Linked DNA regions of Xenopus tropicalis. The protein of the gene in region 3 interacts with the protein of the main gene of each other region in a pairwise test. Links are inferred from orthologs where the notes say so. Each region holds a gene or a part of one and is shown on either strand. Other genes may lie near its edges.

Region 1 (3,568 bases), on a different chromosome or scaffold from region 3:
AGAAGCACTGTGAGCTTTGGGCACTAATAACATACATTAATAAAAAAATTCCTATGGTTTTATTTGTAAATGTAATTGCTATCAAAAGTAGTATTTCCTTATCTCTTTCAGTCATTCCTCCTGCAAATCTGTTCATCAGCTGGATATTGCTTCAGAACCAGAAACATATTTGCAATTACACTTAAAATTACTTTAAAACCATTAAAAATGTTTAACTCATGTGAAAGTTGCTTACAATTATATTTTTCATTATGCAAAAGGTTTTGGGTAGACATCTCCCTTTAAATACTGCTGTGTTAAAATTTACATTAAAATGTAGAAACCTACCCAGAGTGTCCTTTAAATTTTTAACAAGAGATCCTTTTTTTAAGCTGTTCTTCCTCTCCACGTAGTTTGATGGCACGTATCCAGTTTTGTTGGCAGTGTTTCTTACCCTCCACCAGGTTTTGGAGTCATCAAGTAGCCACAGGCGTTCATTTTTTCTAATATCAAGTTCTTGGTCCTGTTGTGCCGTATAATCCCACTTGGCAATAACAATGACTTCCTCTGTCATCTTTCATGGAGTCAATCTGCCAATAAAGACAATAAACATTTTATTACAGTATTAAAGTGCTATATAACTACAACCAATACTTAATAAAAGACTTTGTACAATGTACAAAGTACATTGTAATAAGTATTAAAAACGGTTTAATGAATGGTAATGTTAGTGATGCCAAATTTCTTTTAAAAATATTGTTAAAGGGTAAGTAAACATTTTATTCAAAGTTCTACACTTCCCGTTTAAATGTACATGTCTCATACTGAGTACTGTAAGAATTTGCATTCACGGCAAACCTATTATTATCCTTTATTTATATGCAGCCACAACTTATAAGTACTTTACAGAGATTATTCATCATTGACAGCCCCCGATGTTCAGTTGGATCAGTTTTAGTAGTAAGTTCCCAAGTGTAAATCAAACTTAGGACCTCAAAGCAGCAAGGCAGGAGTTCCAAGATCTAAGCCACCATGCAGGTCTATGACTAAATACGCCTAAATACTATAAATATTTAGATAAAACCTATAATATGTCATTAAAGGAGAAGGAAAGTTTCACTCACTGGGGAAGCGGGTATCAGGTAATGACTTACCTGATACCTCAGGCTAGTGCCCCCTTACTCTTCATTGAGCTTTATGGAGCAATTCTTTTCCTGCTTATTCTTTCTTGGTGCAAGTGCACATGTGCAGTAGTGTAAGAAGTACAACTCTACTATGCATGGTCAGCCCCGGGGGAATGAATAAAGAAGCAGTGGAAGAAGAGGAACGCTCTGTGGTGCTTGTTGAGAAGTACCCCAAGCTGGTGCAGTTTTCTGCTAACAGGAGCAATGACCCAGGGTATCGGGTAAGTGATTACAATCACTGGGAGGGTACCTAACATTTGGTACCCCCAGTGCACAGAGGCGTTCCTTTGTAAAAGAAAACTTGTCTCTAATAATAGTTAGGCTCAATAGTTAACTACCATTATAATCATAATTAACCTTTTTTTCAAAGTATGTACAGTATTTATGATCCATCCAAACCTCACCTTGTTGAGATTTGCTGAACAGCAATAAACCGGTGTCAAAGTACCCTAGACATTGCATAAGCTTTTGATCTAAAGGTTTTTTCAAACACTAAGTTAGAATTAAGGTCATTTCAGACTGTGCATTATTAAAAGAGAGTGTGTCTAGACTGCTATAATGATGTGTTAGTTAAGCCATATTGAATCTACTCTAAATTAGGCTCTGCTAAATAAAATATGATCAGCAAAAAGTACACAGCTTTGTCTTTTGGTAAAAAAAAAATGATTTTAACATTTGTAGCTTTTGGCAAATCTGTTGTACAGGTATGGGATCCATTATCTGAAAAGCAGTCATCCAGAAATCTCTAAATTACAGGAAGACCATCTTTCATAGAATTCATTATGTGTTCCTATCTTATTATAAACTCCTTATAGCTTTAGAATCATTAAGAAATATGCATTTAAATACACTAAGGGGGTATATTTATAACATTGTGCATAATGACTGTCCACAGATAAGGGGTATGAAATGTAGAGGACCATAAAACCAGCATGGACATAGTTCTGTACACAAATACTTAAACATATTTTACATTTAAAACCTGCTACAATAAACAGGTATAGGACCTGTTATCCAGAATGCTCGGGACCAAGGGTATTCCGGATAAGGGGTCATTCCGTAATTTGGATCTCTATACCTTAAGCCTACTAAGAAATCAATAAAACATTAATTAAACCCAATATGATTATTTTACATCCAGTAAGGATTAATTATATCTTAGTTGGGATCAAATACAAAGCACAGTTTTATTTTTACAGAGAAAAAGGAAAATCAATTTTAAAAATCTGAATTATTTGATTAAAATGGGGTCTATGGGAGACAGGCTTTCCGTAATTCGGAGCTTTCTGGATATCGGGTTTCTGGATAAGGGATCCCATACCTGTATACCCACATTCAAAGTACAACTTTGCAATTATGCAGATATTGACATGGTGTACCATAGCACTAGAGTGGAGATGCTTAATGTATTCTAAAGCTTCTTTATACACAAACCCTTTAAATATAACCTTAATTACATATATTTTTAAGCATTTTTATTCTGGTACAGGACCTGTTATCTAGAATGTTTAGGACCTAGGTCTTTCTGGTTAAGGGATCTTTTTTTAATTTGCATCACAAAATACATTAAACCATTAAATAAACCCCATAGGATGGTTTTGCCTCCAATAAGGATAAAGTTTTTCTTAGTTGGGATCAAGTACAAAGTACTGTTTTATTATAACAGAGAAAAAGAGAACCATTTTTAACAAACTGAATTATTTGCTTAAAATTAGGTCTATGGCTATGGAGATGGCCTACCATTAATTCAGCGCTTTCTGGATAATGGGTTTCCAGATAACGGATCCAATACCTGCAGCAGAAGCTATGAAATATCTTACTGCTTTCCCCTATATTTTTCTTTTCCTTTTATTTACACAGCACTAACATGTTATGCAAAACATTACATTGTTAGTTATTCACTCTAGTGCCTGCTCCAGTGAAACTAAGGGCAAGAACCAACGGAGCGGCGGTGGAGTCGCCTGTGATAGATTTCTGCTATCGCAGGCGACAAACTGTCCCTGAAAAAAGGCTTTCCACCAGCAACAACAGCAGTCCTGGTCGAAAGCCCTTTTGCATCGCTTCTTTATCCGAACTCCTGCGAAGTTGCCAGCAGGAGGAAACTTTGCGCAACTTCTGATTATCTAAGTCAGTGCTGTCCAACTTCTGTGGTACCAAGGGCTGGAATTTTTCTTGCCTACATGGTGGAGGGCTGATAATGGAAGCCAGTTTTGACCACTCCCCTTTTTTAAACCACACCCACTTCAAACTGCACCCATGCTATCACAAGAGCTTTTAAGACCATCCCCACATTAATGGTGGCAACACAGCAAAAACCCAATGGTTGGTGCTCACTGAAGGGATATCACCCTTAATTTATATATGAAAGAATTATATTATGTCATACACTTAAATCGATATGCCTC
Region 2 (3,568 bases), on a different chromosome or scaffold from region 3:
AATTCTCATATTCACCTTCAGAAAGCGGCACTCACGGCATAAAGTCCAACCATAGATACTTTATTAGACCTTCATATCTACGCGTTTCGATCCGCTGGGGATCCCCAGTATCTATGGTTGGACTTTATGCCGTGAGTGCCGTTTTCTGAAGGTGTATATATATATACCGTATATACTCGAGTATAAGCCGATCTGAATATAAGCTGAGGTACCTAATTTTACCTAAGAAAACTGGAAAAATGTATTGACTCGAGTATAAGCCCCTCAATGGTGCAGCATGAAAAGCATCCATATACCGGTATACAAAATCTTTAATCCCATAACTAAATATGGCATTTCTGTATTCTTTAAATACAGTAAATTACTGTTCTGGATGTCACTTCAATGAATAGAAGGAGTAGAAGGATTTAATTGGCCTGCACAGAGCGCTGACTTCAAGCTAAACTTGATGAATTGGTACACCAATGCGAGTAAGGCCTGATCACCCAATAGCAGTGCCTCTTATGAATGAATGGAAGCAAATTAATCAAAAAATTTCCAACATCTAGTGAAAAGCAGCAGAGGGTAAAAGGCTGTTTTAGCAACAGAGAAAGAGACAACTTCACATTAATAACCCTGATTCTTTAAAAAACATTTTGGACAGGCAGATATCCACATACTGTGTCATATACTATAGTATATTAATTACAATAATAATTGAAAGTCTATTTAAAGCCTTATTAGCTTTGTGTACATGTAAAATAAATACTTGCAAATCCAACAAAAACACGTTTTACATACAGTATTTCCACACAGCAATTTCAATAAGCAGCACACAAATGTTATCCTAACTATCCAGTGTGGAGTAATGGAAAAAGGCTCCGGTTAGAGGGAGGTGCCACGGTGCTGCTCTTGTGTCACTTACTGTGCTCTGCTAGGCTGTTCTGCTGCCGTTGTCCTGCGAACGGTGCTACAGGTGTCCTTGGGGAGGTCCAGGGAGGGGGGGCTCAGGATGTGCTCCTCATGGCCGCGCCGCTCAATGTGCAGCCGCGCGATGCACATAATGTAGCGAGCACGCCGCGTCCACATTCTGCTTAAGGCCGGCCACGGGGGAAGTCCAGGGAGGGGGGGCTCAGGGTTGCTCCTCCTGTGCTCCACTGTGCCCCTATGTCCCTGCGCATAATGTCACGCGCACGCCGCTACATGCTGCTGAAGGCCGGCCGTATTGCATGTAGTTTGAGTGCAATTACCGTATATACCCGAGTATAAGCCGATATTTACTTTTTAAGCACATTTTTAGGGATGAAAAACTCGGCTTATACTCGAGTATATACGGTATATATATATATAATATGCAGCAGAAGCCGGCACTCATGTGTAAAGCTGATAAATGTGCCTGGGTGCAGTCCCAACAAAATGTTTGCAGATGCTTGGAAAAAGGTACCGCTCACACAGGTCTTAGGATCAGGTTTAAAGTTTTTATTGTAGAGGCAAGGGAACTGACGTTTCGGCTGCAACACCAGCCTTTGTCAAAGTTACAGCAAAAAAATCCAGTAGCACACTGAAGATGCAAGCCGTGAAAAAATTGTATTTTATTTGCCCAAGTACATATAAACAAGCAAAGAGCAAAGAGCAACTTTGTAACTTTGACAAAGGCTGGTGTTGCAGCCGAAACATCAGTTCCCTTGCCTCTACAATAAAAACTTTAAACCTGATCCTAAGACCTGTGTGAGCAGTACCTTTTTCCAAGCATCTGTATATATATATATATATATATAGTAAAATTACCTTTAAGTACAACTGTTAAGTTAATCGCCTTAATTGTTCATTGTGGATGAATAGAAACTGTCATTGATTATAATTTATGATGTTTATATATTTATGTCACAAACATGTTCTTGTGAAGCTGGTCTATCGCTCAAAATGATAGAAGCAATAGAAGTAAGCAGGGAAGCATATAAAGACATTTCCTGTTTCAGTAAATTAAGGTTAATTTTCCATTCTATTTGGCCCTTACACAGCCATAATTAATGCATAAGTGAAGTTATTTTTGTTCCAATGGTTTCAGTTACAAACCTGACGAAGGTTCCTGTGGGAAACAGTAACGCTGGAGCAAAGAATCCTCACTTTTAGGCATTAGTCATAATTCCTGAGTGCCGTCAATTTGGTCAGTTCTAAACAGGCACCCAAGTGACACTGTGTTTTTGCTTTGTGACCCAAACTGGATATTAGATAGATTGATAGATAGAAGATAGATAAATTATTGATAGATAGATAGATAGTTAACAGATATTGAAATTTAATCACAAATGAATCAAATGTATTGTGCATAAACATAAACACAGTTTCAGACAGTACTTGTGTTTCCTTACAGCTGCAGAAGCTTAAGAAATCCCTTTCATTCAAGACCAAGAGTATCCGAAGTAAAAGCGCAGAAAACTTTTTTCAAAGGACTAACAGTGACATGAAACTCCAAGTTGACCTGGAGCCAGAAATAAACCCAATTGGTAGCAACCAGATTCTACCATCTGAGAGCCCATCCTCTACTCCAACCAAAGCTACTGTGCAGCCAGCATCCAATAGCAAGTCCCATGCTTTTCAAGAACATATATTCAAAAAGCCCACATTCTGTGATGTATGCAACCACATGATTGTAGGTAAGGTTTATATACTAGGGGGACATTTCTAGATTAAGAGCATTGTTATCACAGTGATACAGGTAATTACCAAGTGTTGGATTTAATTATTTTGTCATGAAAGAATCTTAAATGTTGAAGGAACACTGGGTTTGGTTCATGTGTTTATTAGGTCTGTATTTAGGAAATGTCATACATTTCTATATCAAGAATCCAGTGCTTATTGTCTGAGGATTTTTATTAATCATGGGACCCTGGTCATTTGCTTGTTCCTTGTATGTTCATGTACTTCAGATTAAGGTTTGTCTTTTGTAACTACATCATTCTAAATTTCACTGAGAATAGACCTATCATAGTTTTTATTCATGTTTTTGTATGAAGATTTAGCAACAGTATTTCTGGACTGGATAATTGGATCTAAGCTACTAGATGTGTTGATTTTGATGCTGTATGTCTTAATACTAGCCCTAAGGTTTCTTAAACCTCAAGAGAACGTAAGACACACATGACTGGCTCTCATTTGGATTTCTCACAGTGCCAGAGGATTATATTGCATTCAGATCGTGCTAATTATGTGTACAATATAGTAGAAAATCATCATTTCTTTGCAGTATGTCCTGTCTTCTGTTTTCTTTTCTTCTTTTAACCAGTGTATGCCTACTGTGATCTGGGGCAGATAGCAGTCTAAACAAAATAATTGATTTGCGTTCCAGTAGACAAATATAAGGGGTCATTTACTACTTGAAGGGTAGGGAGCAAAGTAAAAAAAACATGGCAGATTTGCCCATGGCCCCTTATATCTCCAGGTGGCAGAATTGCCTCAGGTCAATCTCTTGGTAGCAATGACAATCTCTTGGTAGCAATGTATTCATAAAGGGAGAGCAGGGGGAGGTGCGTTTCTGTTCCCTTAGTACTCATCTATGGTCTCAGTAAATAACCCGCCCTAATATATT
Region 3 (4,304 bases):
AAAACCAGCACCATATATTATTCATAACTGCCTACAAGATTAGATATCTATTCATCTATCCTATGTCTCATTTAAACACCCAAGCTGCCATTTCATTAACTATTTTGCTTTGCTGTTTGGCCTCTAGGGGGCGCTGCTTCATTACATGGAGCCATAGCTACACTTTGGCAGGATGGGTGCAAATCAACCAGCGGCCCTACGGCTACTGACCAAGAAAAATAATGTGAATGTCTAGCATATTTCCCCTTTATATAAACAACTCAATGTAAAAGTGCGCAGCCCGCTCTTCTTTGTACATTGCATTAAGCTTTTCATATAGATGGGGTAATGGCAGATTCTGTTAGTGCCTATAAGAGGGGCCTGGATGAGTTCTTGATCAATCAGAATATCCAAGGCTATTGTGATACTAATATCTACAGTTAGTATTAATGTTTGTATATATATAGTTTATGTATGTGAGTGTATAGATTGGTTAGTATAGGGTGTGGGTGCTGGGTTTACTCGGATGGGTTGAACTTGATGGACAATGGTCTTTTTTCAACCCTATGTAACTATGTAACTATATATATTACATTGTGGGGTTTTTTTTTGCACTAATATCTATAAATAAAGCAAGTTGCTTGCACCTTCAGCCCTGCGCTTATATGAGGCTTTAAAACAAAAAGTGCAGCCAGCTTCTGCCGAAACCCGGGATCGAACCAGGGACCTTTAGATCTTCAGTCTAACGCTCTCCCAACTGAGCTATTTCGGCTGCCGTGTCGGTACCGGGCACCGGTGTCTGTTATGACGTAACTAAATGTATCCGGTAACGCTATTCTGATTGGTAGAGAATATGTAAGCGGTTTGTGTGGGAGTCGGTGTTAGTGAGCGCAGCGCCGCGGCGGAAGGATACGGAAAGCCTGTGTGTGAGAAATCCAATAGGGAGCCTAATGTAACAGGGCTGCACCGTCTCTGTGGCGCAATCGGTTAGCGCGTTCGGCTGTTAACCGAAAGGTTGGTGGTTCGAGCCCACCCAGGGACGCGGTGTTTTTCAGTCACATACGGATCTTTATCTCAGTCATTCTGAATATCCATTTTTTTGACGATCATGTGACTGTTTTACTGGTAACCTTTGCGCTCCCTATACTGGTTTACAACACTTATTGTTGGGCGGATGAAACAATTCTGTTGAATTCATTCATTGTAAAGAATTTCAGCACATTCGGATATTTTCGGGAATTATTTACTAAAACCCGGTGTGTAAGGCAGCGGAATGGACTCGGGGTGGCGCTCTCTGCACGCTAACAAGCCGGTGTGTGCTATGGCGGTGCATGGATATCGCTGCTTCCCTCAGACAACAGTGTGTATGTATTCAGTGTCAGACGAACAATAAAGTTTGGTGAAAAAAAGAAGCGCCGGTCGCGCTTGTAGGTCACATGACCTGAGCAGGGGCGGGGCTGCTCCTGGGCTTTCCCCGCACAGTGCGCGGCCCCGACTGGAGATCACGTGACCGGCCTTGGCACGAGTACGCGCTTTAGTTGCGATTGGCCCGGTCCGGTGAGACAGTTCCGCTGCTGAGACTTGGAAGCAATAGGAACGCAATGTACCGAGCCCTGTACGCTTTCCGCTCCCCGGAGCCCAACTCGCTGCTGTTCGGAGCCGGAGAGAGCTTCCTGATCCTGGAGAGGTCCAATCAGCACTGGTGGCTGGCGAGTCGCTGCAGCAGCGGGGAGACGGGGTATGTGCCGGCTTCTTATTTGGAGAGGATCCAGGTAAGGCAGTGAATGCAGAACTACATCTCCCAGCATCCAACACTAGGGCCTGTACCCCAGAACCCCAACACTAGAGCCTGTACCCCAAAACCCTAACACTAGAGCCTGTACCCCAGAACCCCAACACTAGAGCCTGTACCCCGGAACCCCAACACTAGAGCCTGTACCCCAGAACCCCAACACTAGAGCCTGTACCCCAGAACCCCAACACTAGCGCCTGTACCCCAGAACCCCAACACTAGAGCCTGTACCCCAGAACCCCAACACTAGAGCCTGTACCCCGGAACCCCAACACTAGAGCCTGTACCCCGGAACCCCAACACTAGCGCCTGTACCCCAGAACCCCAACACTAGAGCCTGTAACCCAGAACCCCAACTCTAGAGCCTGTACCCCAGAACCCCAACACTAGAGCCTGTACCCCGGAACCCCAACACTAGAGCCTGTACCCCGGAACCCCAACACTAGCGCCTGTACCCCAGAACCCCAACACTAGAGCCTGTACCCCAGAACCCCAACACTAGAGCCTGTACCCCGGAACCCCAACACTAGCGCCTGTACCCCAGAACCCCAACACTAGAGCCTGTACCCCAGAACCCCAACACTAGAGCCTGTACCCCGGAACCCCAACACTAGCGCCTGTACCCCAGAACCCCAACACTAGAGCCTGTAACCCAGAACCCCAACTCTAGAGCCTGACCCCAACACTAGAGCCTGTAACCCAGAACCCCAACATGTCCCGCCCACTGTGTCCGCAGCCTATTGGTTTAGAGCAGCCCCACACTGCTGCAGAACATCTTGGGGAGCAGAGCTGTCAGCCTGTATCTGTTAGTGCCTGTATATAGCGCTGTGTAACCATCATGCCAGTCTCACTCCCTGCCAGGGCTCTGCTCCTCTATGGCAGCTTCAAACCTCTGCAGAGCAGCTTGGGGCCTGGCAGTGCCTGTGCGGGTCGGTGCCTGTGCGGGTCGGTGCCTGTGGGGGTCGGTGCCTGTGGGGGTCGGGTCGGTGCCTGTGGGGTCGGGTCGGTGCCTGTGGGGTCGGGTCGGTGCCTGTGGGGTCGGGTCGGTGCCTGTGGGGTCGGGTCGGTGCCTGTGGGGTCGGGTCGGTGCCTGTGGGGTCGGGTCGGTGCCTGTGCGGGTCGGTGCCTGTGGGGTCGGGTCGGTGCCTGTGGGGTCGGGTCGGTGCCTGTGGGGTCGGGTCGGTGCCTGTGCGGGTCGGTGCCTGTGCGGGTCGGTGCCTGTGGGGTCGGGTCGGTGCCGGGTCGGTGCCTGTGGGGTCGGGTCGGTGCCTGTGGGGTCGGGTCGGTGCCTGTGGGGTCGGGTCGGTGCCTGTGCGGGTCGGTGCCTGTGCGGGTCGGTGCCTGTATGGGTCGGTGCCTGTTTGGCTCAGTGCCATGGCTGAGAGTTGCAGAGCTGTCAGGGATTAAAGCCCCACTGTTTTCCATGGGGTAAGCTGCACTCCGCTCCCTTAGGGAGTGTAAATGGTCAGAGGGCACATTGCAGCCTTTAGTAACAAAAAATACCCTGTAATTATGCCCAAAGCTGTAGCCTTGGCATAAAGGCACTGGCAGCCTTAGGGTTTAACCAGATAGGAAAGCAAACAAATAGAGCTTTCATTATTGCCCCCCAGTTATCACTCACTGTGTTGCCCCCGTCATATGCTACCCAATGGTACATTCCCATTATGTTTACTCACTGGTCACACACAATACCAGAATCAATACATGGAATGCCCAACTGCCCCCTCCAACTGTCAGTTTAGACATAAATAATGTACCAAATTCACCAGATAATTAATATATATATGTCTATGCTGTGAGGGCTATTAGCCTGCATTGGGTACTTACTGGGCCATGAAGAGGATGAATGGCTGAGCCCAGGGCTGTTGGTGTGAGTAGGATAATACAGAGAGAAGTAGTGGGGAAAGTAAATGCACAGTCTGGCCGCTCCTATTAGCAGCCCCCAATCTGATGCGCTGTCACTGTCACTCCTCAAGGGACATTATTGGCACAATGGAGTCTTGCGTGAAAGTAGAGAAAGCCATATAAAATCTGTGCTTGGGTGAAGTGTTCCCTGTGCAACACTGATTCCTTCCTTCCTCACAAAGTAGTCTTTCCACAGTGTATAAGGATATCTTCAACTGGATCTTTATGACTCTTGTGTGTTATATAGTGAATAATGTCCCCCCCATTATAGTATAAGGATATTAGAAGTCAGTGAGGGATTCTGTAACCATATAATGGCTGCTGCTGGTACCATAGTTTGAGAAGCACAGGCTTAGTAAGTATTGGGCATATATATGGGCAGGCTGGTAGGTGAGCGTGGCGGTGCTACAGCACGGTGGTATCTTGTGGCTTCACAGCAATTGGTTCCCAATTAGGAGTAGTTGGTCTCATACTGAATTGGTCTTCAGTTTTTATTTATTAATTGTTTTTGACTTCCTCTTCTGATCATTTCCAGCTTTCAAATGGGGGTCACTGACCCCCAGCAGCCAAAAACCTATTGCTCTGTGAGGCTGCAATGTTATTGTTACTTTATATTACTTATCTTTCT

Evidence for each region.
Region 1: the proteins of nckipsd (region 3) and nck2 interact in binary tests that used the Homo sapiens proteins (3 or more experiments, as listed by UniProt). The two-hybrid records come from large-scale screens. The link is inferred for Xenopus tropicalis from reciprocal best matches to the Homo sapiens genes NCKIPSD and NCK2.
Region 2: the proteins of nckipsd (region 3) and stac interact in binary tests that used the Homo sapiens proteins (3 or more experiments, as listed by UniProt). The link is inferred for Xenopus tropicalis from reciprocal best matches to the Homo sapiens genes NCKIPSD and STAC.

Annotation. Positions count from the first base shown.
Region 1 is NC_030678.2:110,097,469-110,101,036, forward strand, and holds part of nck2 (cytoplasmic protein NCK2), read right to left. Parts: intron 570-3,568; 5' UTR 554-569; coding exon 328-553; intron 1-327. UniProt on the Homo sapiens protein: Adapter protein which associates with tyrosine-phosphorylated growth factor receptors or their cellular substrates. Maintains low levels of EIF2S1 phosphorylation by promoting its dephosphorylation by PP1.
Region 2 is NC_030682.2:60,578,260-60,581,827, forward strand, and holds part of stac (SH3 and cysteine-rich domain-containing protein), read left to right. Parts: intron 1-2,353; coding exon 2,354-2,636; intron 2,637-3,568. UniProt on the Homo sapiens protein: Promotes expression of the ion channel CACNA1H at the cell membrane, and thereby contributes to the regulation of channel activity.
Region 3 is NC_030680.2:136,184,291-136,188,594, reverse strand, and holds the start of nckipsd (NCK-interacting protein with SH3 domain), read left to right. Parts: upstream 1-1,491; 5' UTR 1,492-1,580; coding exon 1,581-1,751; intron 1,752-4,304. UniProt on the Homo sapiens protein: Has an important role in stress fiber formation induced by active diaphanous protein homolog 1 (DRF1). Induces microspike formation, in vivo. In vitro, stimulates N-WASP-induced ARP2/3 complex activation in the absence of CDC42.